3 linked regions of the Elephas maximus indicus genome follow. The protein of the gene in region 3 binds, or shares a complex with, the protein of the main gene of each other region. Links are inferred from orthologs where the notes say so. Each region holds a gene or a part of one and is shown on either strand. Other genes may lie near its edges.

Evidence for each region.
Region 1: the proteins of ANXA2 (region 3) and S100A10 are in contact, whole or in part, in a crystal structure (PDB 4FTG), measured with the Homo sapiens proteins. The link is inferred for Elephas maximus indicus from reciprocal best matches to the Homo sapiens genes ANXA2 and S100A10. Residues at the interface, in NP_001002857.1 of Homo sapiens: Val4, Glu6, Ile7, Leu8, Lys10, Leu11, Ser12, Leu13; in NP_002957.1 of Homo sapiens: Phe39, Gly41, Phe42, Asn45, Gln46, Ala51, Lys54, Ile55, Leu79, Ala82, Cys83, Tyr86, Phe87, Met91.
Region 2: the proteins of ANXA2 (region 3) and S100A4 are in contact, whole or in part, in a crystal structure (PDB 5LPU), measured with the Homo sapiens proteins. The link is inferred for Elephas maximus indicus from reciprocal best matches to the Homo sapiens genes ANXA2 and S100A4. Residues at the interface, in NP_001002857.1 of Homo sapiens: Leu13, Glu14, Pro21, Ser22, Ala23, Tyr24, Ser26, Val27, Lys28, Tyr30, Thr31, Asn32, Phe33, Glu36, Arg37, Leu40, Thr44, Gln69, Asp70, Phe73, Arg77, Arg78; in NP_002952.1 of Homo sapiens: Lys35, Leu38, Pro43, Ser44, Phe45, Leu46, Gly47, Lys48, Arg49, Thr50, Asp51, Ala54, Phe55, Lys57, Leu58, Asn61, Leu62, Gln73, Phe78, Cys81, Ile82, Met84, Met85, Glu88, Phe89, Phe93.

Annotation. Positions count from the first base shown.
Region 1 is NC_064821.1:186,188,014-186,197,580, forward strand, and holds the start of S100A10 (protein S100-A10), read right to left. Parts: upstream 4,486-9,567; 5' UTR 4,377-4,485; intron 4,343-4,376; exon of another isoform or gene 4,171-4,342; intron 1-4,170. UniProt on the Homo sapiens protein: Because S100A10 induces the dimerization of ANXA2/p36, it may function as a regulator of protein phosphorylation in that the ANXA2 monomer is the preferred target (in vitro) of tyrosine-specific kinase.
Region 2 is NC_064821.1:191,397,881-191,406,937, reverse strand, and holds S100A4 (protein S100-A4), read left to right. Parts: upstream 1-5,117; 5' UTR 5,118-5,206; intron 5,207-6,078; 5' UTR 6,079-6,093; coding exon 6,094-6,234; intron 6,235-7,170; coding exon 7,171-7,335; 3' UTR 7,336-7,469; downstream 7,470-9,057. Other genes in the region: S100A3 (protein S100-A3), read left to right, coding at 2,676-2,816, 3,309-3,473. UniProt on the Homo sapiens protein: Calcium-binding protein that plays a role in various cellular processes including motility, angiogenesis, cell differentiation, apoptosis, and autophagy.
Region 3 is NC_064831.1:50,493,555-50,503,667, forward strand, and holds the start of ANXA2 (annexin A2), read right to left. Parts: upstream 4,027-10,113; 5' UTR 3,920-4,026; intron 1-3,919. UniProt on the Homo sapiens protein: Calcium-regulated membrane-binding protein whose affinity for calcium is greatly enhanced by anionic phospholipids. It binds two calcium ions with high affinity. May be involved in heat-stress response.

The sequences.
Region 1 (9,567 bases), on a different chromosome or scaffold from region 3:
AGCTGGAATCGACTCTACCGCAACGGGTTTGGTTTATTTTTGTTTATCAACAAGAAACTCTGCTTTGAAGAAGGAGCCAGCACACTGGTTAGAGACTAAGAAACAAGGGGGGAAACACTGTGACTACGACTCTGTTCTCTAGTAGCTGAATCACCTCCACCGACACGTAGCCCTTCTCGGTTGGCCTTTTTCTGGAGCGCAGCACCTGCGCCACTGAGTGAGCGCGGCAAGGCCCTCCCTTCATGGGCGGGGCGGGGCGCGGCTGGGCGGGGCGGGGCTGCCGCACTGACCTTTGATTGCTAAAGCAGTTCTGGGACTTGACTGGCGTTTCCATCCCCCCAGCCACCCGACACGCTCCACTCCTGGGCAACGGTGGGCCTCCTGCTTCCTGGATGGGTACCCTGATGGGAGGGCCTCGGGGCTGAGAGGCAGCAGCGTCCTCCACGGCCACCACCTCCTCCAGCACCTGAACCACTTGATCACATTTCATAGTCTGTCTGTCTGCCTCTCCATCTTAGACTTAAATTCCTTATGGTCAAGAATTGTGAATTATTCTGCTTTTATCCGTTAACCACTAAAGACCTGTTTGCTAAACGAGCGGATAAATGAATCAAATGACCCCTTGGCAGGAGCTAAGTCCAGGTTTGATCACCCAGGACTGGGCTGAAAACCTTGGAGCTCAGAGCTCAGCGAGAACACGTGGGAGCTGGGAAGGGCCAGGAAGGAACCGCAAAAGGGCTCACTTCTGAATGGAACAGTAGAGCACAGAGAAAAACACATTCCACAGGCAAAGGAAAAAATGTGTCCTGCTAAACAGGTCTGGTCAGACCCTGCCATGACTCCTCTCCTCTCTCACTCTCGGTGTTTTCTCATGTTTCATTCATCCCACCTTCTACTTCATGCCTATCTCACCGGTGATCTCCATGGGATATTAACCATCTCACTGTTCATGCGCCTTTTATTAAATCATTTCGTTCTGATGCTTGGATATGGCCTGTATATGTTTGTGTGGGCAACGCGACTTAAGAGTGGAGGCCTGGAAGCTGCAGTCCTTCTCGAGGTAATTTTCTCTATGGAAGAGAATTCTAGACTCCATAAATTTAGTCCCTGTAATGGGAATTCAGTTTCCCTTTTTGGCTCTCCCACACAGAGCACCTACTTTGCCTGTCTTGGCATGGTGTCAGGCACTAAGGGACAGACAGACAGATAGACACACGCATGGTTCTTGCCTCTGAGAAGTTCACTAGCTAATGGCATACTTCTTAAAAGTCTGTCCTGAATTCCAGTTATTTGCATTTGTTTCCTCATTAGTCTGTGCGCTACCTGAGCAGGACCCCAGTAGCTACTGTCCTGCCCTCACAGTGCCTCCTCAATAAGTGGGTAAGCATGAGATTGACAATGTAAGATCTGACCAACCTGGAAGTAGCAGGGGAACAACAGGCCTCCTTACAAAATTGTCTGCTCCTGAGCAATCCCGAATGTTTGCTCTGGACCTATGCCCGGATCCAGTCGTAATTTCAAAGAGGACACTTGTAAAGAGCAAAAGGCCTGATTTACTTTGCTCTTCAGTGTCTCATCCAGACCCTAGTTTTCTTACAGACCACCCAGAAAATAATTGGCAGTGATAACAAAGATCTATTATTTCAAATATATTTGAGATTTCCTTCCTTTTGCTTTGGGAATTCTGAAAACAATTTTTTTTCTTTCTTTTTTGAAAACTGAATTTGATCCCTTAAAGGGAATTCAGAAAAATAATGAGCTGAGGCAATGGGTGTGGATCTAGGCTGTCTCCCTCACCTCTTACCAAATAAAACTTTCCCACCAAAGAAGTGGGCAGCAAAGGATAAATTCCAGATGTGACCCAACAGGAATAAAGAACTCAGAAGCCTCCTTGTCCCCAGCAGAGTACATCCATTTTTCCTTGAAGAGTTATCCAGCATCCACCTGAATCAGCCAACAATAGCCATTGTGACAAACTCTATTACATCCTTTGGTGGGGGTAGGTGACAGCTATTTGGTGAAGGGACAGGAAGCCTGAAAATTGCTAAAAAAAATAAGTAAATTCATTGTTTTGGATTTTGATGGCAATTCCGAAATTATGTTCTGGGGAAAAAGAGAAGCTTAAAGATCCTAAAATTTTAATCAAATGTTCCCAGCACTCTGAATGCTAATTTAGACATTATAACACTGAAAGGGTTCCATTGTTTCCCTCATCATTACATTTTAAAAGACTGGGCTGGGTCCAAGGGGCATACCAAGTGGGTAGTGCTCTAAAAAAGCCACATTTTTGGATATGTCAGTGGAAAGCAGAAAGGCACCCCGTCTCAGCTCCACCCAGCCTAAAGGCCTGACCTCACTGTGGTGGCAGCCTGAGAGGCTGGCCACAGGCCAGACATGGGAGGAAAAGGACTTATCCCATGTTGTATCCAGGAAAAAGCCAGGGGTAAGCATGACCTAGACATCAGGGTGAGACCAAACAATTGCTTTATACCCAGTTGACCCTCAAAAAAAATGCGAAACACTGAAATAAGATGCTTCGAATGGTGGATCAAGGACCGTAACGAAGAAACTAGCCTCTAGCTCTCAAGGAGAAGGGAATGATTAAATAGGATCCAGACAGGAATCTGTGGGGGCGGCGCTGATGAAGAAATTTCTAATGAGTTATAAAAAGAAAAAAGTTATATGAACTCATTATTTCTGCCTCAACCGCTGGCATTATTTATTTATTTATTTTGGCATTATCTTTTGCAATTTGCTGAAACACTTTGAAGGCAAAGATCACTGACAGGGTGCTTCCATGAGTCGCCTCACCTCTAAGCACAGGATACAGAAATCCAGTCTTAGAGATTTAAGCTCAAGCTGCAGGGCGAAAAAAAATCGGTAGCCACTGCAAACCTCTTAAGGAAAAGCCACCTCCCAAGGAAAGCTGAGGGAGGCTGCCAGGCAGCATGCAGGCCCATCACCTAGCCAGCAGTCTCCCCTTGCCCCAACCCCCCAACCCAGTGCCATGGTCTAATTACTGCCCTCAAATACAGTTCAGTCAAGGCACTCTCCTTCAGCTTGCCCGTCAGTGCTGGTGTGACTCACTTCCTCCTGGAAGAGTCCTCTAAGATGGCACAGTTCCTTTTTCCTTCAGGCAGTGTTCTGTCCAAACCATCTGCAGTCTCTGGAACCAGCAGGGCCACACCCACATGGTCTCACAGCTGAGTCATAGACCCCTCACCACTAGGAGAATCCTGGAGTCCCCAGTGGTAACCCCGCCCTGCAGAATGCTTCCAGCTCCCCGTGGGAGGGAAGAGAGGTCCGGAGAGGGAAGGGTGGGGGGTTTAACGTATTCCAGCTTTGGCTAGGGCTCCGCTTTCCTCATCACCCCCACCCGACATGGCAGTAAGCCCCGGGTTTCAGTTAGGCGGATCAAGATCGATGCTGGGAAATGCAGCATCCAGGGCTGGAAAGAAGCTCCATTCCTTTGGCCAAGTTCAAGTTGTGAAGGAGGTACAAATGGCCTGCGGCCTCTATCTCCGTCTCACTGCGCTGGGGTTGGGAGACCTTTCATGAAAACTACTCTTCCCCCATCTCTTTCCAGGGCCACTTATTTAATGAAGATGACAAGAAGAGAAAACTTAATTCAGTCGAGATTCGCTTCACAGTCTCCCCCCAACAACAACAAAAAACACCAGCAACAGAAAACCCGCTTTATAGAGAAAACCAATAGTCCTCCCTCTCGCAGCAGTGAGAATCTCCCCGTCTGGTAGACAAACAACAGGAAGCCCGACCTGAAGCTTCTGTTTGGGTGAGGGGCTGGTGTCTCCTTTAGGAAGGGAATCCGCCAGCTGCCAACCCGCCCCAGCCCTCCCCAAGCCTGCTCGGGTCGTCTAGCCGGAGGGGGCTACGAACACTTGGACAGAGGTCCGCCTGCGGCCGGAGCCCACAACGAAACCACACACGCCGGCCGGGAAAGGGGGCCAGAAGCCGGGGTTCGAGTAACTCGGGAGACTAGACGAAATGCAGGAAAGGTGGGCGTAAACGAAGACAAATTAAAAAGAATGAGCGAGCAAAAGCCCAGGGGCACCAACATCCATGTCCCGTAGTAAAATACAGCGCACGCCCCACACCCGCCCGCGAGGGTCTGGGGACGGCCGCGCGGGGACCGGGGAGGGGCGCTCTCGCCTCGCCTGGGTGTGGCCCGGCGCGTGGAGCAGCGAATTCTCCAGCAGCGGCTCCCCGCCGAGGCGCTTGGTGCCCGGGGCTCCGCAAAGCCAGGTCCGGCAGGCAGAGCAGCAGGCTCGGGGGCTTTCCCTAGGCGCCAGGGCTGGGACAGCAGGAGGGACAGCCCGCCTGGCCGACGGGCAGTGCGCGGGTCCGGCGGCACTCACCTTGGCCGGGAGGCGTGGCACGGACGCTCAGCGAGCTGGGACGCAGGGCCAGTGAGGGCAGCGCTGCAGGCACTGCGCCTTAGTACGTGGGGGCGGGGGGGGGGAGAGGGCGGAGGCGCGAGTCCCGCGCGGGGAGCAGGAGGAGCCTTGGCCTGGTGCTCCAGCCGCCACTCACCCCACCCCTTGTCTCCTCCCTCCTCTTCCTGCACACCCCCCCCACGCCACCCCCTCCCCCCACGGGCGCCTCCCAGACACCCTGCTCTCGTTTTGCAGAAGAGCTTCACTATTGCCATTCTCTCGTCCCAAGTGAGCATGTATTATCGAAAGTCCTCTTCAAGTAGGAATATTCAGACTCTTGAATATTTCAGGCCATCCCCACCCTCGGCCGTGCCCTTCCTGTCGGGTTTGGTTTTAGAAAGTGGGTGAGTGTGAAAATCAAAAAGCCTAGTCGTTCTGCGGGTGGGGCGCGCTGGCCCAGACCCAGCTCAGCTGTAAGCAAGCGGCTCTTCTCCGGTAACCTACAGGTCTCCCCGCAAAAAGGTCTAGGGATTACATTTTCTAGACGACATTGCAGGGAGGGGCACGTGAAATCTTAACCACCGCGAAGGCGTTCGCTGCAGACTTAGTTGTTCTAGAATTAGGTTCTGGGATATCAGCCCTGGCTTTCCGCGGCCTGTGGTCCGGATCCGCGTGCATTTACAGAAGAAGCCGCCCTCCCCGACCGCCTGACTCGCTGTGGTGCTGGAGGGAGGGGAGTGTTTGGCTTGTCAGCTCTAGAGGTTTTTCAGACCCTTTGTTGAACAAGGGATTTACCCTTCACGGCTTATGTGGCTTCACTTGGTCAATAGCTCAGCTTCAGTTGGGCTAAAAAAAAAAAACTGTTAAAACCGAAGGTTCAAAACCTTCTTTTTGTTCTGTAATTGGCCTGCCTGCTGGGCCCTCAAAATCTTTAGAAATTTCTTGAAGAAATTTAAAGAAAACCTAGGTGTTTGTTACCGGATTCTACCTGCCACCCTCCGTGACACCTTAGACATTAATAATTTTAGTTGTGGTTTAGGGTTTAATGTAAACTGCTAGCAACAATTGGCAGAAAAGGAATGAGTCCCAAACCCTGGGATTTTCCTTCACACTTCTTTCCCAGGGGAGATCCTGAAGGAGTGAGTGATCCCAAAGGAATGAGCAGACTCAGGGAATCCTCCAAGTGCTACCACGTGGCTAAGCTTGACTGTTGCCAGGAAAATCCAACTTGGAATTCAGCTCTTGCCTGCACTGGTGCTGACTTTTCAGGGGCAGTTCTTCAGAATCTTCCCATGTACTTCCCAAATTCATATCAGGCCTCAGTTTACAGTCACAGTGGAGACGATCCTGGGTCCCTTTTGTCCCTGGAAAGATGCAACTGGATTTACTCATTTAGGAGCCCTGTAGTGCAGTAGTTAAGCTCTCTGATGCTAAGGAAAGGTTGGCATTTTGAACCCACCAGCAGCTCCGAGGAGGAGAAGAGACCTGGCCATCTGCTCCTGTAAAGATTACAGCCTAGGAAACCCCATGGGGCAGTCCTGTTCTGCTCTGTCACATTGATCACTACGAGTTGTAATCTACTGAATGGCACACAACCACAATTCACTTATTTAATTTCTTCATTTGGTCAGTAAACCTTAAGGAATGCTTACTGCATGTGCTAGGCTCTGGGGATTCAGAGATTAAAGAATCAGTTCCTTTCCTCAAGTGCTCCAAGTCTTACTGGGAGATAGATAAGCAAACAATTAAAATCTAGTGTGATTAGTGAATGGCAGAGGCATGTGTTCTGGACGCCATGGGAACATTAAGGAAGGGCTTCCAAATCACCTTGGAGTAGTCACAGGATGATTTTTTTTGGGAAGCAACATTTGACAGATGTTTTAAAAATCACAATAATGCAGGAGTCCCTAGGTGGTACAGATGGTTAAGTGCTTGGCTACTAGCTGAAAGGTTGGCAGTTCAAACCCACCCAAAGGGGCCTTGGAAGAAAGGCCTGGTGATCTGCTCCTGAACAATCACAGCCTTGAAAACCCCCTGGAACACAGTTCTACTGTGCACACACGGGGTCACCATGAGTCACAATTTACGTGACGGCTACTACCAACAACAATGTTGTTTGAGCCACCTGGAAGCAACGACACTGTGATTTTTAAATCTGATTGTAAAAAGATTACTTTTTTATTATAGAAGATTTGGAAAATATAGCAATATATAAAAAAAAAATAATTTGTAAACCCATGAACCAAAGATAAATATCTTTATGTATCGCCTTCCAGTCTTATGCATATATACATATATTTACAATTTGTGATTACACTGATTATCAAATTATTTTACTTTTATCATGTGATACTTTATCTTTACTATTTTTTATGTCATTAAATATCTATCAGGAATGTGAGTGTACATTTGCTCATTCCTTTATGTTTTTTCATTCAACAAGTAACTTTTCACCTGCAATGTGGCTTCTCTCGTCTCTCTTTCCTGCCTGCCAGCTGAAATCTGAGGACTCTGAGGCCCTAGTGGATCCAGCTTCACAAAAGGGAAGGAACTTGGGTTTCTGAAACGCTGTGTTAAATGCTGAAGATACAGTAGGGAAAAAGGTCAGCATGCTGGACACTATCCCTGCTCTCATGTAGCTTGTTAATGATTTATGGATCAGTTGCTCCATAAAGCTCTAAGCCTGCCATGCCTATAATCCTTTTCTAGGAGAAGTGGTCCCAGGCAGGTCTTTCTCAGAAAGTAGTTGTGCCTTGTAAACCACATGCGTGCAATGAAGTCAGGGACCAGAGCCTGAACCCAAGCTGCCAGGAAGGCTGGTGCTGTAGCAGGGGGTGAAGGGATGAGGTGAGGAGAGGAGCAGAATGAATGGCCATCAGAGGAAACGAAACAGAGGCTCAAGCCGGTGTGTCTCTGGAATGAAGAGGAGGCGACGTTCAAGTTCTCCACCAGACTTCTGGCAGGTTCCAGTGCACTAAACGCCGGGAGCAGGAGGGATTGTTTTCCTGGGTACTTTCCCACTTCTTCATGTCACATAACAACAAAACCCCATTACCCAGTGGTTTCCAGTTTTTTGGGGGGTTGGTGGCTGTGGCAGAGAGGGCGGGCTGTCTAACAGAAATGTGTGTTCCTCCTTCTATAGTGTAGAGTTGTCTCTGAGAAGTGGCTGCTCAGCCAAGGATTACGTTCCCAGCACCTCTTGCACCTAGGTGGGATCCTGTGACCAGAATGGGACAGTGTGGTGTGTCACTTGGTGGCCAAATGCAGAATAGGAAGTGATGTGTGTCGCTTGCCAACTAAAGCAACAGCGGTGACTTTTCTGCACTCTCTCTCCAATTGCCAGGTGCCTCTAGGGGTGGAAGAGCCACAGTTGGAAGGAGCCTGGGTCCCTGAATCACAGTGTGGAGGAAAACCACCTGCTGATCAGGAAGACCAACCAGCTTTGGAATAGTTATATGGGTAAAAAAGAAAACTGAAATTTGGAAGTTTATTTGTTTCAACATAGCCCTATCAAACAGTGGGCTTCTTTTGAGTGCCAGCATTTTTGGCAGCACATTTGAAAGGATTAAGTTGCATGTATATTAACTATACTATAGTACTGATGGAAACCCTGGTGGCGTACTGGTTAAGTGCTATGGCTGCTAACCAAAGTGTCGGCAGTTCAAATCTGCCAGGTGCTCCTTGAAAACTCTATGGGGGCAGTTCTACTCTGTCCTATAGGGTCGCTATGAGTCAGAATCGACTCCACGGCACTGGGTTTGTTTTTTTGGTTTATATAGCACTGATCACTGAGTAGAACAGTTGTTGCTGTGATCGCTCAGTCTTTGATACTCATGAGACAAAGTTCTTGCAGGTCTTAGGGAATGCATATAGTTTCTTTGTTTCCTTATGTGTATCAAGTTGTACCGTGCAGCACACAGAAACCATGTGCAGCCTAGCTTAACATTCTGCCTGCCCAGACACTATGTTAACAGTGTGAATCATAGTTGTAGCAAAAGTAAACTTTATCCATCAATTAAAATGCCTTATTAAGGTTTCGGAAACCCTGGTGGCCTAGTGGTTTTTTTGGTTTTTTATTAAGGTTTCAGGTCTCTAAATGGTTCAAATGGTTTACACTTGACTGCCAGCCTAAAGTTTGGTGGTTTGAACCCACCCAGTGGTACTGTGGAAGAAAGGCCTAGTGATTTGTTTCTGTGAAGTTACAGGAAAGAAAATCCTGTGGAGCAGTTCTACTCTGTAGTATGTGAGGTTGCCATGAGTCAGAATCTACTCGATGGCAAATGGTTTGGTTTTTGGTTTGGGTTAAGGAATCACAGTAGTCATCCATGGTATGTCAGTTTACAACCACTGATTTACAAGTATTTGGTCAAGACTTTCTGCTGGAAATCCAAACAAACAAAACCCCAAAGGTGTCTGTACTGGTATACATAAATAGGGAGATATTATAATTGTTAAATGTGTTCCATATTTTTGAATGTTTAGGTTGTTTCTAATTTTTTGCTTTCAGAATAATTGTATATAAAGTAACTGTTTTTGAGCAGATATATTTTCTCAAATGCTTATTTTCTTAGGATAGATTTTTGTTAGGGGTTGTCAACTTTTTTGTTTTATGTGGATCTTAGAGGACAAGGAGGATTTTTGTGGAGGCCGAGAGGAAAAAGCATTGCCATGGAATTGTGGGGAAGCATGTCTATTTCAGGACTTGCCTTCAGTTCTGCACGGGGACAGTGTAGAGCCCCTAGGGCCTTAGATGGAAATGAGTCCTGAGGGGGTACCTGTCCTGGGGCACCTTAGATACTCTGCTGAGTCTTGGAGCTTTTTTCTGAAGGTAAGAAGGAGCCACTGGGAATGTTAAGCAGGGAGTGAGTGACTCTCCTACTTACCAGGTACATGACTCTGGGCCAGTCATTTCATCACTGTGAACCCAAGTCTCCTTATTGGTAGAATGGGGATTGACAGCTATCTCTTGGGGCAACAGAAAAGACTGGACAAGCCAATGATCATGAAGGCATTTAGCGAGCCCCAGCAGGGAGTTTGCTAAGAATAAGTAGACCCTCACCTTCTCTGTGCTTCCTTCACTCAGCTTAATTCCTTAGGGAGTTTAAGGCAGGCTGTTCAGTGGTCCAAGTCCCTGGTGTGTGATTTATGGGTGAACATTTTGGAGCAGAGTCCT
Region 2 (9,057 bases), on a different chromosome or scaffold from region 3:
TTAAGCTAAAAGTCAGAGGAAACCCCACCTGACCCCTGTGGGACTGCAAGAAAAGTTGCCTTGGTGCTAAACAGAGCAGAAGAGGAAAGGAAACAGCCCCTGAGTAACTCTAGACACACAGCAGCCCAGATTCATCTGTATCACTTAGTGGGGCAAGGGAGGGCAAGAAACTTAAGCCCAAGCTTCTGCAATTGCACTAGGAGGAACACATCTTTATGACTTCATCCTACACCTCAAAGAAATCCCACAAAGATTTTCCCCAGGGAACTGAGCAGTTCATATTCGAAAGAAAATGATGAAGCACCGAAAAAGTGATCTAGGGATTAGGCAGGGAGGATATCTCAGGTCTCGGCCTTCTCATCTATAAGTGAAAGGGCTCAACCAGGTTCTCCTGAAAGTCCTTGCTCTGGCAAGGGGATTCTCTGGAGAGCCAGCTCAGTGAGGGAAAATTGTTTCCCCACTTTGTATTCTTGGGGTATCTCCTCAGAGTGAAGAGCTAGGAGGATGGATGTACGGACCAGCCCAACCTATGTCCTCCAAACCACGTTGGAAGGAAAAGAAAAGGAGGCTGCACCCAGCTCCTGACTCTGGGGGAGGGCACGGGGCACTGTCTGAGACCCCAGACTGGGCCTTTGATGTGTTCATGAACAGGTGGGCAGCTAGGGCTGTAATAGAGGCTGCTGAGGAAGGAGGCGGGGAGCCCCTAGGGCATCCCCAAAGCTGACCTAGTTGAGTACCCCATAATTACTCCCTTCCTCTCTTGGGAAGCTACAAATAGGGATGCCCTGTCTCTAGGCTCCTACAACTGAAACGTCAACCCAGTGGTGAGTGCCAGCTGCTTGGGTCCTGCCTTGGGTAGGGTGTTGGGGAAACTCAGGGGCCCCCAATGGCCTGCCTCTCTCCTGGATCAAGGTCTGGGCATGGGGGCAGAAGGATGACCATGGCAGGGATTGACAGGGTGAGAGAAGTCAGATATGGTAGGCTGGGGGGTTCCCTTTGGCAGTGAGCGGCTGTCAGGAAGTTGGGCTAGGAGGTGTGCAGAGCTGGGATCTGGCTCTGGGTAGGGGCATGGGCTAGAAATGTGGGCGTTACCTTCAGTGAGCTCCCTCTGCCTCCTCCTTGCTTCTCTGCTTCATTCCTGGGGACGGGTTGAGACAGGCCAGGGCTGCACAGGAAAGAGAGGATTCCCAGCCAGTCTCCAGGCACCCAGCTTCTGGAATGGCAACAGTGGTGGTGCCAGGCAGGCTGGCGGGGGCCCAGAAGGGCATGCTGAACACCTCTGAGTTTCCCTTAGCCCCTAGGATCATGGCCCCTTCCTATCCTGGGCTCCTGGACACCCTGTTCTAATCCTTGGCTGTCAGAGTTAGAGCCCGGGCAGTTTTTGGTACCACCCAAGCCTTCCCGCCACCCACCAGCCACGTGGGCCATTTGCTCCACAGGGCCCACAAAGGGTGAATCATTAAGGAGAGAGCCTTGGTGGTTGCTGCTCTTCGTTGCAGGACTCCCGTCCCCTGGGGGAGCCAGGGGTGAGTCATTAGGCTCACATGGGAACAACTCTTGCCTTCCTGCTGCCTTAGGTTCCCCGGGCTAGAAGCCTCCTCCCAGAGAGTACTGGGTGGGGACACCGGAATTGGAGGAGGTGGGCAATTCCAGGAATGGCTTCCCCTCTAACAGGGCCTTCTATCTCAAGATCCCTGGGTCAGGGGATGGTCTCGGGTGGGAGGGTCAGGGGTTGGTAAATGCTGGAGCTGGCCATCTGGGTCAAGTCCCTGACCAGGCCGTGGGGTGGGATTAATTCCATTTTATAGGTAAGGCACCTGAGATCCAGATAGGATAAATGCACCATTGTCACAGTTAGGAGAGAGGTAGAGAGGATTCTAGAAGTTTTCCCTTTGGATGCAGCCTCCTTCAGTTTGAGGGAAGAGGGATCACTAGAGGAGTGGTGGTGAGGCGGCAGGGGTCCTCCTAGACTTGACTGTCCTTCTACTGCCCAGCGTCTGTAAGGGCCTGAGGATAAGGCAGCGCTGGCTGAGGGTCTCCTTGGGCGAGTTCGTAGGGAAGGAACTCTGGGTCCTGAGGGAGGAGACTTCTAGGGCCATGGGCTGCACCTACGGAGTGGGGCTGGGCCCTTCCTTGGTGTTGGGGACTGAGTAAAGGTGGGAGAGAACCAGAGAGTCCTGAGGGACTCTCTTGGTGGGGAGGGAAGGTGGAAGGGTCAGACAGACACTCTGTCTTTGAGGGGTTTTCAGTGAAATGAGGGAAATGAGACTCCCACCCAGGAAAATAACACCCAGGGGGCAGTAGTGAGATGAATTAGGAGGGGCTGGTGTGGTCAGGGAGCTCTGGTGGCACAGTGGCTAAAGCACTCAGCTGCTAACCAAAAGGTCAGAAGTTCGAATCCAGCAGGTGCTCCTTGCAAACCCTTTATGGGGCAGTTCTACTCTGTCTTATAGGATGAGTTGGAATTGACTCAATGGCAATGGGTTTGGTTTTTTTTTTTTTTGATTGGTGTGGTCAGAGAGGGCTGCTCAGAGAGGGGGTAGCTTGTGGCCCAAAGCCTAGGGGAGAGTAAGATGGTCTGGGAGCAGTGTCTGGGGAATGCAGAGGGCAAGGTGAGCAGGGAGGCTGGCCTGGACCTCCGCCGTGAGTCACACCCTTGTTCTGTGACAGTGAGGATGACCAGACCCTTGGAGCAGGCGGTGGCTACCATCGTGTGTACCTTCGGGGAGTATGCAGGGCGCTGTGGGGATAAGCATAAGCTCTGCCAGGCGGAGCTCAAGGAGCTGCTGCAGAACGAGATGCCCACCTGGACCCCGGTGAGCAGCCCGGGGCCCATCCTCCTTCCCCATCCAGTGAGGAGGTACTGCTTGGATTCTGTAAAGAGAGACCTGGGGACAAGTATGAGCATAGGACAGCAGGAAGGGTGGAGGCTAGACCGCATGGAGGTGACAGCAAGGGGACTGACACAGCAGGAACCTCAGTTTCCTAGTCTGTGAAATGGAAGAACAATCATCACACCTGCAGCCTGCAGGGTTGTTGCAAGTATTGCCCGAGAGCACTGTGAAAAATGTCTGGCTCATAGCAGGCACTCAGTGGCAAAAAGTAGGTGTTCAATAAATGATGTGAGAAGGAGGTTTTGGGAGGGGGATTGAAATGGGCTCATCATCAGAACAGGTAGGCTGAGGCTGGCCCTCCCAAGGGACGTGGATTGGGATGGGGTGGGAGCACCTAGGAAGGGAGGGAGGACAGGAGTGTATGAAGCTGCTTGGCCCTCCTCATCTTGCCCCCTACACCCCTCCCTTGCACAGATGGAGTTTCGAGAGTGTGACTACAATAAATTCATGCGTGTTCTGGACACCGACAAGGACTGTGAGGTGGACTTCGCTGAGTACGTGCGTTCACTAGCCTGCCTCTGTCTCTACTGCCATGAGTACTTCAAGGACTGCCCCTCGGATCCTCCCTGCTCCCAGTAGCCTCTGCTCCAGAGGAATGGGCCAGCCTGGAGTGCAGCGGTCTGGCCCACCTCTGCCCCTGAGGTGGTCCTGGGCAGGTCACCATACCCCTCCCTGCCCTCTGGCCTGTACCTCTTTCAGTCTAGAGTCCCCCAGATTCACCCCTGATACGTTGACCCATTTTACAAGGAAGCTCAGAGATCTGAGGGACCTTGCCAAGGATGCACACCTGGTGGTGGGTAGAGCAGCGACTGGCTCCATCCTGCCCTCTGAGGGCTGCACCTTCTACCTGGGGCCTGTGGGCCAGGGTGGGAAGAGGTGGGAGTCTGTTTTGAGGAAGTTAAGGCTCAGCAGAGTATGGGCACACAGGAGACCATGGATGGGAAAGGGCCTATTAACTCCTAATAAAGAACTGGTGTCAGCTGGACTTGGTTTGGTTCTTCTGCTGAGATTGTTGCTCCTTTCTGGTCTTTTCCAATGAGGACAGGAGGCTGAGGGGAGGAGCCCTGAGTTCCCAGAGGACCCTGAAGGTAGTTTCAGACCCCATAGAAATGAAAGGGGCTGAAGTTTCCAGTAGGTGGGGCAGGGTCACACACAGGACTCCAGTCCTGGGAGGACCTGAGAAAGCCTCTCTTTCTCTGGGCTTTTTGAGGGAGAGGTCCCCTTGGGCTTTCATGGAGGGCAGGAGGGCAGCCTAAGCTTCCTTGGGGACCATGTTGCTGAACTCTGCCCAGTCAGGATATTCTGAGCAGGAGGGGAGGGGCTGTTGGGGGTGGGTGGGTGGGGTGTTTGTTCCCAATCTGGGCTGTGGTGGCCCAGAAGGCAGTAGTAATAGGATTAGGGTGTCTGAGGTGTCTGCTCCCAGCCTGAGCTGGAGGGGGAAGGGATACCTTGAGGAAAGCCTATCCCTGAGGCCAAAGCTACTTTATCCCTGAGCTTACACCCAACCCTGGGACCTTAACATTGACCCCTGACTCCCTCATTCTGAACCATTTCACCTCCAGTTCTCCACCCCAACCTGGATTTTTCATTTCTGACACCCACTGGAACTCTAAACTCCCCATCCTGACAGTCTACCCCTAAGCCCCAGCCCCTTTCAGTCTATCCCTGTGCGCTCATGCCTGGCTCCCCACTCCTCACTGTCACTGCCTCACCCAGGACCTTTCTTTGCAAACATTCCTCAGGCATTCCCACAGCCTCCTTTGGGTTAGTCCATTCCCCTTCCTGACCTCTGGTTCTCCGACCCCCCGCCTTATTCAACCTGGTAGAGCTCCATTTGGGACATTCCTTGCAGCACTAGGCCTAGGGCTCCCCTCCCTTGGTTTCTGGGCAGCCATATATCCAGGGGAATTTCCCATCTGTCGCCCACCAACCCTAGCTTTCCTACTGCCTGGGGTGACTACTCCTTCCCTGTCTCTGCACATGCTAGGCCCCTCCTTCCGGCTTCCTAAGGGCTGAGCTCTATATGTTGGGTGGTGCCCACCCATGGAGGTCCTTGTCTGTGCCCTCTGTGCTCACCCACTGCCCATCTGTGCCTGCTGGGGGCTGGAAGGTTGTGTCCAGGCTGGGCTGGTTGAGGGGCCGTGGCACTTACCACATGGGCCCACGGCAGGAGGGCTGTCTCCACTCTCCCCCATCCCCTGCCATGGGCAGGGCCTGGCCAGGGTATAAATAGGTCAGACCGCTGAGCTTCCCCCATTTTTCTCTCTCCCCAGCCCTTTCTCTCTGCTCAGCGTTTCCTGTCGCTTGGTCTGGTGAGTTGTGGTCGCCTGACTGGCATGAAAGAGGTGTCAGACCAAGGCTCTGGGGCAGGAGAAGGGGAAGTGGGTGGGGGCCAGATATGGTAAATGGATCCAGATGTAAGATCCTGATGTGGAGGCTCTGGGGTGGGATGTGTGTGTTTGTAAGACAGAAAAACAAACACACAGAAAGGTCAGAGGGGGGCTGAGATGCTGGGAGTTGCATACACTGTCGCTGCAGTGTGTTTGGTGTGTGCGTGACCATGTGAAGGCACACTAGCTTGTGTTTGCTGGGTTGCATGAGACTGTGTGTGCATGGTCAGGTGTGGTAAGGCAAATGGAGGCTGAAAGCAACTGTGGGTTTCTGTCTGGTGGTGTCATGTGAGCCCTGCAAGGAGCCATGCAGCCCTGCGCCTCCCCTTCTTCCTCCTAATCCCTGTCTGTGCCACTTTGTCCTGCCCTGCCTCACACCAGGCACAAGGCGGCTGGTTTTTTCCTGCTATGGGCCCCTGGGCAGGCTTCCAGGGGCCGCGCCCAGCACTGGGAGCAAAAAGAATGGGCTGGGGCTGGAGGCTGTGGGCTGGCTTTGGGGGTGAATGAACTGACTGAGCTGTGGAAAAAGCGTTGTTGTTGAGCCACCGCCCTGGGGAGACCCAGCCTGAATCTCCAGAGCCCGTGCAGTGGGCCCTGCACATGTTTGCTACTCCAAGCATGTATTTCCTGCTCCACATGCCCACCTCCACCCCTAGAAGCTGAGCCCACCTTCCTGGGCTCCTCCCACCATGGAAGTAGTATCTCACCAAGGGATCCTAGAGGGATGGGGAGTGGGGTGGGGCACTGTGGACACATAGCTGGGGGTGGGGTAGATAAGGGTGCCTCTCCCCCAGATCCTGACAGCTGCCATGGCACACCCTCTGGAGAATGCCCTGGATGTGATGGTGTCCACTTTCCACAAGTACTCAGGCAAGGAGGGTGACAAGTTCAAGCTCAACAAGTCAGAGCTAAAGGAGCTGTTGACCCGGGAGCTTCCCAGCTTCTTAGGGGTGAGTAGGTGCCACCTCGGAGGATGCCCCCATGGGGAGTTCCCACGCAGGAAGGACAAGGCCCTGGAAGGCATGGGTCTTTTGTAGACCATTAGCTATGGAACGGGGCAGTGGGAGATGGGGCAGAGAGCTCGCATTGGATGCCTGGCGCAGAAGCACAGTGAACACCCCCACTCACTGACTAGTCCCAGACAGGAAGCAGACTGAGGCTGAACAGGTAGATGATGGCCTAGATACTATGCGATGTTTTGCACTGACTATATAACCTAACTGGAAGGAAAACTGAAGCTTAAAGAGGCTAAAATAACTTCCCAAGGCATCTAGAGCACAAAACTGAGATTTGAACAGACTGCCTGAGTCTTGCGACTACTCCAGGAATGGACGATCTTTGAATTTCAATTTGTCCTGTGAATGTGAAGATACAGTTATGGAGACACCTCATACCCCTACAGACCTTCCCCCAAATGATAACAGCTTCCATTTGTATCAAACTTTATACAGTTTATGTATTGCTTTCATGACCATTACCTAATTGAATTTTTTTAAATTGTAGTGAAAAATACACACAACAAAACAAAGCCAATTCAACAATTTCCACATGTATAATTCAATGACATTGATTCATTTCCAAATTATTCTACCACCATTAACATAAACCCCTCAGGAAAACTAATTGGATTCTTAACCCTGGGAGAAGATGTTGTGGCCCCATTTTTCAAGTGACAACATCCAGGTACTCAGGAAACTCTTCCTCATCCCAGGGACATCCTCTTCCTGTTGTAGCTTAGCCCTGAGGGTTGGAGTTTCAAAGGCCGAGACCCCTAAGAGAGTGGCTATGTAAGCCTTTGGAGCTCTGAGTTTGAGGTGGAAACCTGGTTCTAGTCTTGGCTCTTCCACTGGGCTTCAGTTTTTACCTGTAGCCTCTTCTTCCTCCAGAAAAGAACGGATGAAGCTGCGTTTCAGAAGCTAATGAGCAACTTGGACAGCAACAAGGACAATGAGGTGGACTTCCAGGAGTACTCTGTCTTCCTGTCCTGCATTGCCATGATGTGTAACGAGTTCTTTGAAGGCTGCCCTGATAAGCAGCCCAGGAAGAAATGAATGTTCCTCATATGTGGTCGGGGGCTCTGCTGGCTGGGGTCTCCCCTGCAGGCAGTGGGGGTGGTCACTTACCCCGGCTCCTCTAAGCATGTGCATGATGCGGAGCAAATTCAATAAAGATTCTTGAAAACCAAGAGCCTGCTGGTCTGGGGGCTAAGGGGGATACCAGGGGAGGTAAGGGTTTGTGGGATGGTGGTGGGCAGTGCTGGTAGTTGAAGTGCAGTTTTATGGGGAGCTGACTAGTGAAGATGGGGGAGGGGCGTGGAGTGACTGAGGGTGTGCGTGTGTGGGAGGCGACAGCTGACTGTGGATGGGGCTGAAGGCAGGGAAAGGGGCCACCAGAAGCTTGGAATGCCCAACTGTGAGATCTTAGCCAGCCCATTCTCGCCTCCCATCCTGTTCCAGCCTTGCCTCTGGCAGGGACTCTAACTGAGGCTGGGATGGGCTTGAAGGTCACATCTGCTCCTAGATGGGGGTCTGGAAAAAGAGTTTGGGTGCCCTGAGGGTAAGGGGGGGGAGGGAGGAAATAAAGTTGAGTCATGGGGAGGGAGTAGCTGAGGCCGGGGTGTGTGTGGGGGAGGTTTTCCTGAGCCAGAGGGCTGGCTTTCAGGCCTGACATTTACAGTCCACTGGCTTCAAACCACAGGGATGGATTAATCCTTTGCTGCCCATGTTTGGATCAGGGAGGCGATACAGAGAGAGATTGGGCTGTTTGCAGCAGCATGAGAATATAGCCATTCTCCAACCCGCTGTCCCTGCTCCAAAGTCCCATGGGATGAGATCTGTTACCAATTAGGGATCATGGCTTTCAGAGAAGGACAAGGGGCCTTGGGAAGGATGAGTGGAGATTGGTGGCTAGGGTGGGAGTGAGGGAGATGGTGGGGAAGTGACCATATTTTTTGAGACAAAACTTCGGACATGATCTGATAAATGAAATTGAGATTTTTTTTTCCCAGAAAATGTCAGGCATGATGTTGCTTTGATTAAAAAAAAAAGATTAGGGTAGGTTAAACCCAGTGGGTTCCAGTGTGCAGTGGACAGGATTGATGTTGGACCTCAAGGCCATGCCTGGATGGTATCGCGTACCTTGATGGAAGACATGAGTCGAGGTCAGGTTCAGAGGCAGCGTTTGGTCCCCTTGACCTCTCAAGCTTTTCCTTCTTCCACTCATTACACTGTGTTTTTCTCTTAAGTTTCAGAAACATGCGGTAGGTGACTCAGAGGTTCCCTCAGAGTTTGGCCACGGAAACTTGGGAAGAATTTTGATCCAGGAAAAAGTTTGCTTTCTCCCCCTTCTCTTTCCCTCCTTACTCCTCCTCCCCCAGCCTGTGCCGTCCCCAGGGACTCCCGCTTGACTCACTGCTTCGGAAACTCCTGTTGCCTAGCAACCAGTCCCTGCTGCCTTTCTAGCCCTGCCAGCTAGGGGTGAGGGTAGAGTGGGCAGTGGGGAAGTCCCAGGCAGGCTAAGGTGATACTGTGGCAACCATTGGTTGCTAAGCTTCTAACTTGGTAATGGTCTCATACTCGGACTGGTTGGTGTCTTATCCTCTTTGGAATGTGGGCAACTCTCTCTTCTCCCTACCTGATCCATGACTGCACCCTGAACCTGGACTCTGCCCCATCACTAGGTCCTAACCCTTCCCTGGATCCCCTCGCCAATTCCTGCTTCTTGTCCTCCAAGGGTCTCCAACAATTCTTTCCCATGAACATCAGTGAGGTTTA
Region 3 (10,113 bases):
AGCTCCAGTTACCTACATGCAGAGCTGGAGGTTGAAATTCCCAGCCTCTGTGCAAATCTTTGCAAAGCCTAGCAGATCCAGGCCAGCCTCTTTGTCACTGTGACATAAAGTCCATCCTTACCCCTAGCCCAGCACCCACCTCTGACGCTGTTTGGGTCCTGTCCGCAGGAAAAGGAGGAGATAGAACCTATTTCCCCTTTCCACACTGGAGGCAAGGCCATGGGGGGAGGAAGGGCTTACAAGTGTCCCTGGGACTCTGATTTCCTCTGAGCTGTGAGTGTGGAGGCTGGGAGTGGCAGGGAGAAAAAGGCTATGTCACAGCCCCTGCTTTCCCACCAGACTCAACCTGGGATTAGAACTCCGGCCACCTGGGTGCTACTGAGTTATGCTCTGACACGAACACACTGAGATGGCTTTAAACGCTTCCAGGTGTACCCTAGAAGGAAGATTCAGAGACAGTCTCTGTAGAGCCCCTCAGAAGCACAAGCCTGGGCGCCTGCTGGCCTGCCCTCTCTACAAAATAGATGGGGCCTGCCTCTGGCAATGGGGGAAGGAAAAATATACTAGACAGTGAATGGGCGGAAAGAATTTTTTTAAAGAGCTGGAATTTCCTCTGGTGTGGCCGACAACTAGAATAGGGTGTGGTACCAGGGAAAATGAAGGAAGTGGGTTCCCATGTGCAAAAAAAGAGAGGAACATTCCATTCCTACCTGATTCTCACAATCAAGTCTGGAAGGCAGGTGAGTCAAGATCACTTTAAACAGCAGTTCCCCGAGGCAGCCTATAGGAGATGCTCAGGTCTGCGGGACAGCTGTATTAAAAGGGCAGTGAGCCCCAGCCATGCTTGGAAACTCACATTAATTTAGGAAAACGGAGAGTTTAAAACCAGTACCCAGTCAATGCCGACTCATAGTGATCCTATAGGAAAGAGTAGAACTGACCCATAGAGTTTCCAAGGAGCACCTGGTGGATTCGAACTGCCGGCATTTTGGTTAGCAGCCGTAGCACTTAACCACTACACCAACAAGGTTTAAAACCACTGGGCAACTATAATGTCGTTACTTGCCATTGAGTCTGCTCTGACTCACGGTGACCTCATATATAACAGGACGGAACGCTGCCCAGTCCTGTGCAATCTTTGTGATTGTTGGTACAATTCACTTATTTCTCTTCCCGCTAGATTTAGGGTCTACAAGAGCAGGCGTTTTCTGTCTGTTTTGTTCACTGCTCAGCCCCCAGTGCCTGTAACTCAGTGACACGTACTAGGTGCTTATTAAATATTTTGTGGAATAAATGGGAGTTTTATAGCAGCCCTCCAGGGTCTGGGACTCTTCTGTTACACGCCCAGTCCTCCCTAAATAGAAAATGCCTCAGCAGGCAGAGCCCACACAAGCAAAGAGCTAAAACAAAGGCTTCTGATAGTGCTTTAGTACCAGATAGCAGGCCCATCATTGTAGGAAGTGCCCACAGCCCTCAAAATCAATACCAATTATAGAAGAATACCTACCTTGCAAGGAAAACTGCTTAAATCAGAAATTAAATTCAGTGGCCAGGAAACTAATGGCCTTGACTACAGGCTTAACGGCAGTCAATACAGTCCTTTTAAAGCTCAAAGACACAGGAAGTTAAATACCAAGACTCCAATCCCTGACCAAACTCCTGATCAAAGTCGGTAAGTCAGCAATATTTCCTGTACATTTGCTCCAGACAGGCAGGCCGCTTGGCACCTCAGGGAACTGCGAGACCATAAACCTCAACTAAAAAAATACACGTTTGTGGCCTCACCCTTCTACTCAGATGCGATAGGCACTTCTGGAGAAAACCTTGAAGCTTTTAGATAACAGATGGCCTGAGAAGGAAGGAAGCTAAGTGGGAAAGTCTCAGTGCCCTTGGCCTCTCCGGATCTGGCCCTCACCTCAAAGCTTCCTTCACAGTGTGTGAGCATTGTTGCTCCGGGATTCCACAGCCTCAGATTCTATAAATTACAGATGTGCTGGGGCACTGGGTCTGGGAGGGTTAACAAGGTTGTTTTGTGTTTTAAATAACACAACTCCTCTTGGGTTGCTGAAGATTTTAGGCCAACAACCATTCCTAACTTAATGAATATGGGTTCAATTTGCTAATCCCTAGCTATAACTGGTGGCGCAGTGGTTAAGAGCTCAGCTGCTAACCAAAAGGTCAGAAGGTGAAACCCACCAGACGCTCCTTGGAAACATGGGGCAGTTCTACTCTGTCCTATAGGGTCACTATGAGTCACAATCAACCCAATGGCAGCTACACAGCTGTAACTACACTGAAATGGGAGGGGGGGGGAACGACACAACTGAACAAGTCTGACAGTTGTCCTAACATGTCAGGAGACAGGGTCCTGTCTGAGGAGGTGGGAGGAAGATGGAGAAAAGACAGCAGAGAGAGGCCAAAGACAGAATTTTCCCATTGAAAATGATTTAATCATGGCCAACTTTGGAAGTAAGAAAAGTTCTGGAAAAATATTTCAGTGGTTGGTTCATTCTTCCTACCTACAGATCCTCCCTTATACCTACTCCCCCCTCCCCCCCCCAAAAAAATTTCAGGCATGCCCTATCAGACTTAGATAGCCTGCATGCAAAATAGGTTTTTCTGGGCTAGCCTGACCACGTCCTGTAACGCTGGGGAAGTGTGTTCTGCATTCCAAAGCACCAAGTCCCAGACAGCACACACTTCTGGACAGAATTCATCTGCACAGGCGGTCTGAGCTCAGAGGCCCAGGTTCCTGGACTCCTGGAGCTGGTTCTTGGTACAGACCCAGTGTGCACCCATGAGACCCACGCTTTTACACAGATCGAGCACCCGTAAAATCTTAATAACGCACCCATGTTGTTTGTTTGGAGACTTTGCATTTGTGTAGCGCTTAATGCTCTCATTGTCCTTTCCACATTTATTGTTTTGAAATCTTCAGTAAGCATCTTGTGGGAGTGGGGGAGCGGAGGAAAGAATGAACGCTCTCAAACCACTTTCACAGATGAGGAAACTGACGTTCGCCTCTGATCTTCTCCACGGTCAGTTGATGGAGCCCCATTCCAACACACCAGGACAGGGGGACCGCCTGGCAGCGCTGCAGGAGCGGCCTCGAGCCACGCCCTTCTCTGCACCCCCAGTCCCTGACTCACCGCGGCATCACTCAGAGTAACATTCAAGACAGCCCTCCCCACAGAAGCACGGGGACACTTCCTTCCGGATGCAACTATGTTCGACCCGGCTGATGTGACCCCAAGCAACGGGGAAACTCTCCAGAAACACTTAAATCAGAGGTTGCTATCCCACAAGATAATCTAGACAAAGGAGACCGAGCTGAGGTTTTGTTACTGTTGCTTCGGCTTTATTTCGGGAGGTGCGTGACTACTACAAACTCGCACCCGTCATCCTCCCCCACAGCTTCCCCACTGCTGGTGGGTTCAGGTTCCACGGATCCACGTTTATGTCAAGTGAAGTAACTCGGAACGCAATGTGGTTACTTTCTAGATGGCTACAAAGCTTTCGTTAAACGTGGGGAAAAGCGCCCACGGAGGACGGCTCTGCCAGGGTCCCGCGGCTCCCTCGGCGGCCACACCCTGTCCCCCCACCCCCGCCGGGCCTGCGGGGGCCCCCCTCCGCTCCCCTCCCTGGCGCGGCCTCGCCCCCGCTTCCTGCGAGGACTTGGGCGGGAGGTCGGATCCCTACCTCTCCTGCACCCCAGGCCCGGGTGCAGCTGGGCCCCCGGCACCCGCGCCCCACCCCGACCACCTGGCCCCTGCGCCCGCTCCTCGCACAGCCCCGTGCCGACCCGGACGGCTCCCGGGTCCCCTCGCCCGAGCCTCTCCTGGAGAGGCCGCGTCCTCGGTCCTGCCTTCCCGCCAGCGCGGCGGCCCCGGGGCCATAGCGGGCGGCGCGCCCCGCTTACCTGGGCCGGGCGCCGAGAGCTGCGAGTGTCCCCAGATGCGGAGCGGAGCCGGCCGTCCGGGTGGGGCTTTATACCCGCCACAGCCTCGGTCCGCGCGGCCCGCCCCGCCCCGTCCCCACCCGGCCGGGGTGACTCACCCTCCCCGGCTCAGGGCCAGCCTCGCCCTGCAACGTCCCGCGCCGCGCCCTGCACCCTGCCCTCCATGAAAGCCCCGCCGAGGCTCCTGGCGAGCTCCGGCCTCCTCCAGGCCCAGGATCTGCCAGTTTCTTCCTCCCTCCCCCTTTTACTGCTGGAGAGCCACGTCGAGCTCTCAGCCTGGCTGGGGCTAATAAATTAGCTTGTTAGAAGACTCTGGGGTTGCTTAAGTCACCTTTTTTTTTTTTTAAGGCGTCAATGCACTGGAGAAAAGAATTGTTCCAAGAAACAAATGTCGATTGCCCTGAGCTGGAGCCGTTGGCATCCAGATTCGCTTTACCGTCTGCAAACACATTGCTTAACCCCTGCCCCGCAGTTCCCGAGAGGGGCGCGAACGCGGGGAGGCGCTCCGCCCGGCCCTGCCCTGCAGAGCCTGGCCCACTTGGCCTCCGAGCCAGCACAGGGAGCCCGGAGCCAGAGGTAGGGGTTCCCGGGAGACCGCGGCCGGAGCCAACAGCCCACCCCATCCGCCCTAGAAGACTCTCCCAACCCTTCGCAGCGAACTGTGCTCAGCTGCTCCCCAGGAGTCCGGGAGCTTTCCTTGTCCAGCACCTCTGTGCGCTCTGAGCAAGACGTGCTGAGCTGGGTGGGGCCGGTGGTTTTGAACTCCAACAAAGAAGTTTCCTCCCCTCCTCCTTTTACTACCGCTGTTCTTTTCTAGCTGTTTAGCCCGCTGCCTCGGCTGGATTTTGCTGTTTTTCGCTTTTCTTTCTTTACTTTCAACGAACCACGTTGGCAACATGTGGGCAAACAAACGTTTCTGCGTGACCGAGCAAATACTGTAGTCAAACCTGAAATAGCAAGAACGCTTTGCTGAGTCCCAAAACCTTTGCTAGACCTTTCACTGCGCATTTGAATTCCTTCCTTTCATGCCCACTTCAAACAGCCCTTCCTCTTAGGACTTGATGCTTCTGTCTTAATTTCCCATCTATTTACACGTCCATTTTGACTTCCCAGTTGAGGGCCAGCTCACTCCTGGAATCAGAGAATGGGAGAAAGGCAGCCCTGCGCTCATATGGTGGAAGAAACCAAGGCCAGAAGGCATTCCTGCTTGCTGACCTGCTGACCGACACCCAGTGAGTCAGATGCTAAGTGGAACAAACACTTGGGGTATCTTGGCTCCCTTCCTGTTACCCAGTTCTATTACTAGGAATTACACATGATAGACCATAACTGAAGGACAAACAGAAAATAAATCAACACCTTGGATACAATTTCTGATCAACATTAATGGCTCATGTAGTCTGAAGGCAGAAACCATGTTTATCTTCCTACTCTGAGAACATTTTGGAACATAACACGCCAGTGGGAAAGAGCATGCATGACTCAGCCCCTTCTTTACTTCCAGAGCAAGCTCCACAGCCTGACTCCTAATTGTGCTGGGTTAGGTCCTCTGTGGGGGCTAAGAATTCAAATCATATGAAATATGTGAAAGTCACCAAGTACCCAAAAGATTTTTTTTTTCTTTGCTGGCCCTGGGCATCTGACAAATCCACACTTCTGTAGATCACTCAATAGCCAGGGTTTCCGTCATACTGAAGAACTTTGCACTGATGTTATCATAAAAAATAAAGCTATTGGAAGTCATGGTTTGCTATTTCTGAGGAATGTGAGGCCAGTTCTGCCAATATAAAAGAAACTTTGAGTCTCTTGGTCCAAAGATTCTTACCCCATGACTGGGAGGAGCGTTTACTGCGTCAGACCTCGGATTACGTCGGCCATTTTGTGTATTTTCTCTAGCAGATGAGCTTTGTTTTCACTCACATTTCATCTTCTGCACTTCAGCACTTCTGACAGTGCTTACCCAGCCTTGATACCACCAGTTGCCATCGGGTTGGTTCCGACTCATGATGGCCTCACATGTGTCAGAGTAGAACTGTGCTCCATAGGATTTTCAATAGGTGATTTTTTGGCAGTAGCTTGCCAGGCCTTTCTTGTGAGGCACCTGTGAGTGGACTTGAAGCTTCAGCCTTTGGGTTAGCAGCCTAACGCATTCACCATTTGCATCATCCATGTAACCATGTGCACTTCAGCTCTCATTGAGAGGCCCTCTCTACATATTGTAGAAAGATAAAATTACTCCCAGAGTAACAGAATGTTAGAGAGGAGCCCCAGGAATTAACCTGCCAATCTTTGATTTTTATAGAAGAAACTAGAATCCAAAATAGTCTCCTGCCCAGTCCAGAGATTAAATAATGCACCCAAGTGCCTTACATCAGTTACTTATTATAATGTAACCAATTATCCCCAAAACTTAGTGGTAAAAATATAAACAATCACTTATTTGTCACGATTCTACAATTTAGGCAGGAGTCAGCTTGTCTCTGCTTCACACAATGCTGGTTGGGGTGGCTCGTTTGGAGTTGGAAGATCGAAAGTGGCTTCACTCACTTGTCTCGTGCCTCCGCCGGGGCTGCTAGAGTGGCTGAGGGCTGGCCAGGCCTCTCTGTCTCCCTTGGTTTCTCATCCTCCAGGTCCTCTCTATATACCAGGGCAGTCATGGATTTCAACTGAGTTTTAAGAAGAGAAAACCGAAGCTCCCAGGCCACAGGTTGGATTTGGCCAGCGAGCTGCAGTTTGCTGTTGTTGTTGTTAGCCGCCATTGAGTCACACACCCACCCTCTCCCTGACTGATGGCAACCCATGCACAGCAGAATGAAGCGTTGCCTTGTCCTGCACCGTCGTTACCGTCACCGCCACCAGTCGTGGATTAGACCGTTGTGATCCATAGGCTTTTCATCAGCTGCTTTCCAGAAGCAGATCACCAGGCTCATCTCTGCTCCATGCAGCGTTGGCTAAGGAGACCCAACCGGGACTGCAAGATCCAAAAGGGCCATTCCCAAGCAGGGTGGTTTCTCGCTCACAAGAGAGTGAACATCGAAGATTCCAGGCCCAGAACTGAAACAGTGTCACTCCACTACATTCTACTGGTCAATGAAGTCACCAAACCAAGGGTCAAGGGGAGAGGAAATGGACTCATGGAGTGAACAACGTGTTTATATGGATGGAAGGAATTGTTGGCAACCAGTTTTGCAGATCATCTACCACAATCCTTAAACTAGTAAGTGACAGAGCTGGAACCAGAATTTATGTCTCTGCCTCTTGCTCTACTCCTTTCCCATTATTCCCTATTTCTCACTAAAGTGAGATCGTTGTGCTTCAGTGAGATACAGGCTGTCCTCGGGGTCTCTATATTGTATGGTTTAGACTCTCGATAACCATAAATTTGTAATTTCTTTGATTGTGTCATATGCGATCAGTATATTTGAAGATGGGCTAGGAATGGCTCTGTACTAATTGTGTCTTGCTCTCTGGGACCTAACATTCTTAAGTTCACAAATGAAGCAAACTTTCCACAGTATTTAATTTTACCCATTCACTTACTCTTTCAATAAATATGTGCAGTGCTAGGTACTGGGAATAATGTGTAGGACATATTGAGGTGCCTCAGAATTATTTATAAAGTGAATGAACTATTCTGAAAATATGTTTTGTTGTTTGCATTTTTCAAAAGGATGCCACACTCATGAAAAGCATATGTGCTCCATTAGTTAGTGGAATCCTTATAACATTTAAAAAAAAAAAAGCTGCCTACAAGTCAACTTTGACTCATGGCAACCCCATGTGTGTCAGTGTAGACCTGTGCTCTGTAGGGTTTTCAGTGGCTGATTTTTCTAAAGTAGATCACCAGGCTTTTCTTCCAAGGTGCCTCTGGGTGGCCTTGAAGCACCAGCCTTTCAGTAAGCAGCCAAGCACCTTAACTACTTGCACTACCCAGGGACTCCTTACAGTACTTGAGCTCCTTGAAAAGAGAAGCCACGCCCGTTTACTTTTGAAATGACCCCTCATTTCCCATAAGAATGCTGAACTCTGTAGGTCCTTAGTAACTATTTATAGAAATTCATAATAACTAAGAATAGAAACACTTACATAGTGGCTTTCCCAAATGTGAAATCAAAGCTCCACACTTTTCTTCCTTCTTGAATTTCAGACTAAGCTTAAATAGCATGTCTGGTTCACAGAATCTTGCTCCTAACAGAATCACTTATTAGTATAATTTCTTAGAAGACTGTGATTTGAAAACTAAACATACATCTACCCTATGACTCAGTAATTCATCTCCTAAGTATTTACCCAATGAAAACATATGTCCACAAAAAAGACTTATACAAAAATACTTCAAAGCAACTTTAAAAATAATTAAATTTGGTTACAGGCCCGGTACCCATCAACAGGAGAATGGATAAGCAAACAGATATATTGACAGAATGGAATACTCTCAGCAACAAAGAGCTAAACAGTACTGTATACTCAACAACGTGGATGGGTCTCAGAAATATTATGCAGAGTGAAAGAAGCCGTACACACAAGAGTACATACTGTATGATTTCATCTGTATGAAGATGTCAAATAGGGAAAACTAATCCATACTGGGAAAAAAGTTGGAATGATTGCCTCTGGGCATGAAATAGAGGTGGGAATTGACTGGGACAGGGCGAAGAAACTTACCAAGATGATGGTAATGCTCTGAACCTTGCTAGGGGTCTGGGTAATAAAAAACCAAAGTCTGGGTGATTAAAAAAAAAAAAAAGAGGTATATATATTTGTCAAAACTCACCAAATGGCACACTTAAGATGTGTGCATGCTGCTGTATGTAAGCTTGTGCTCAAAAGACAAAAAAGGTTTATAAACAAATACTGAACCCTAGTTTAGGATATGAATGTCTAAGAGTTTAGTGTTGAATTGTACTGATGCCCGTGATTTACTTTGAAATGAATCAATAAAAAAGGACAACTAATGCATGTATTCTGTATGTACCACAGGCACCCCTTCATGTTGTGAGAAGGGAGGACTGCAGGACTGTTTCCCCAGGACAAAGAGAAAAAGAAAAGTCATTATAGTGACAACATCTTCGACACTGAAGAACAGATGGGCAAGTGACAAGTGGCTTAGCAGACCTCAGAATCTGGAGACTAATCTAGCAGTGGGGGATGCCAGGAAGCATGTTATTTTGTGTCACAGAACCCCAGAAAGTTGCCACCAAATGTGAGGGTGGGGGTGGGGCTGAAAATAGGGGCATTGGTTGAAAGTCTATATAAGAACCACCTCATCTGAGAGACCCTCTCCTTTATCACTCGGTCCAGCAACTGCCCCCTCACCCACCCCAGCCACATGATGGACGTTTACCCTGTAGCAAGGCTGGCACAGAAAGACTATGGACAAAATCAAACCCACTGCCCTCAAGTTGATTCTGACTCATAGTGACCCTACAGGACAGAGTGGAACTGCCCCATAGGGTTTCCAAGGCTTTAACCTTTACAGGGGCAGATTGCACATCTTTCTCCTGTGGAACAGTGGGTGGGTTTGAACCGCCGACCTTTTGGTTAGCAGCTGATTGCTTTAATGGCTGTATCACCAGGGCTCCCTGGACTTGGGGACAACAGGCACAATCCAGGGCAGGGAGGTCATGCTGAAATCAAGGGGATTAAGAAAAAGTCTCCATACTGAAAGGTAAAATTCTCAGTTCCCTGCCCCTACTAGGATGCTGGAAGCCAACTCATTAGCACTCTTTCCCTCCTCCTGCCAGTGCACACGATTGGGTTTCCACACTGGAGGAAACGACCTGCCCAATAACAACACAACCCTATAGATAAGAGACTATCAGGGTTCCTTCATTGAAGCTCCCCTGCCTGATCACTTTAGAGTGAAAACCACCAGTTGGGAAGCTCTGTCAATGGAAACGAAGTGTTCTGTAAGAATTTTGGTGTGCCAGTCTTGAATATGAGGCAGCAGCCAAGGGTCACCAGACACTTAAGAAGGACATCTAATGTAAACTACAGAGACCAAAATAACCTACCAAATAGAAAAAGAACTCAGAGGAAACAGAAGCAGTGCACAGAATATCACACAACTTCAAAACAAGTATCGTTAATATCCTCTGAAGACCAGATACTGTATTTATGAAATAAAAATACCAAAAACACAAACCCGTTGTAGT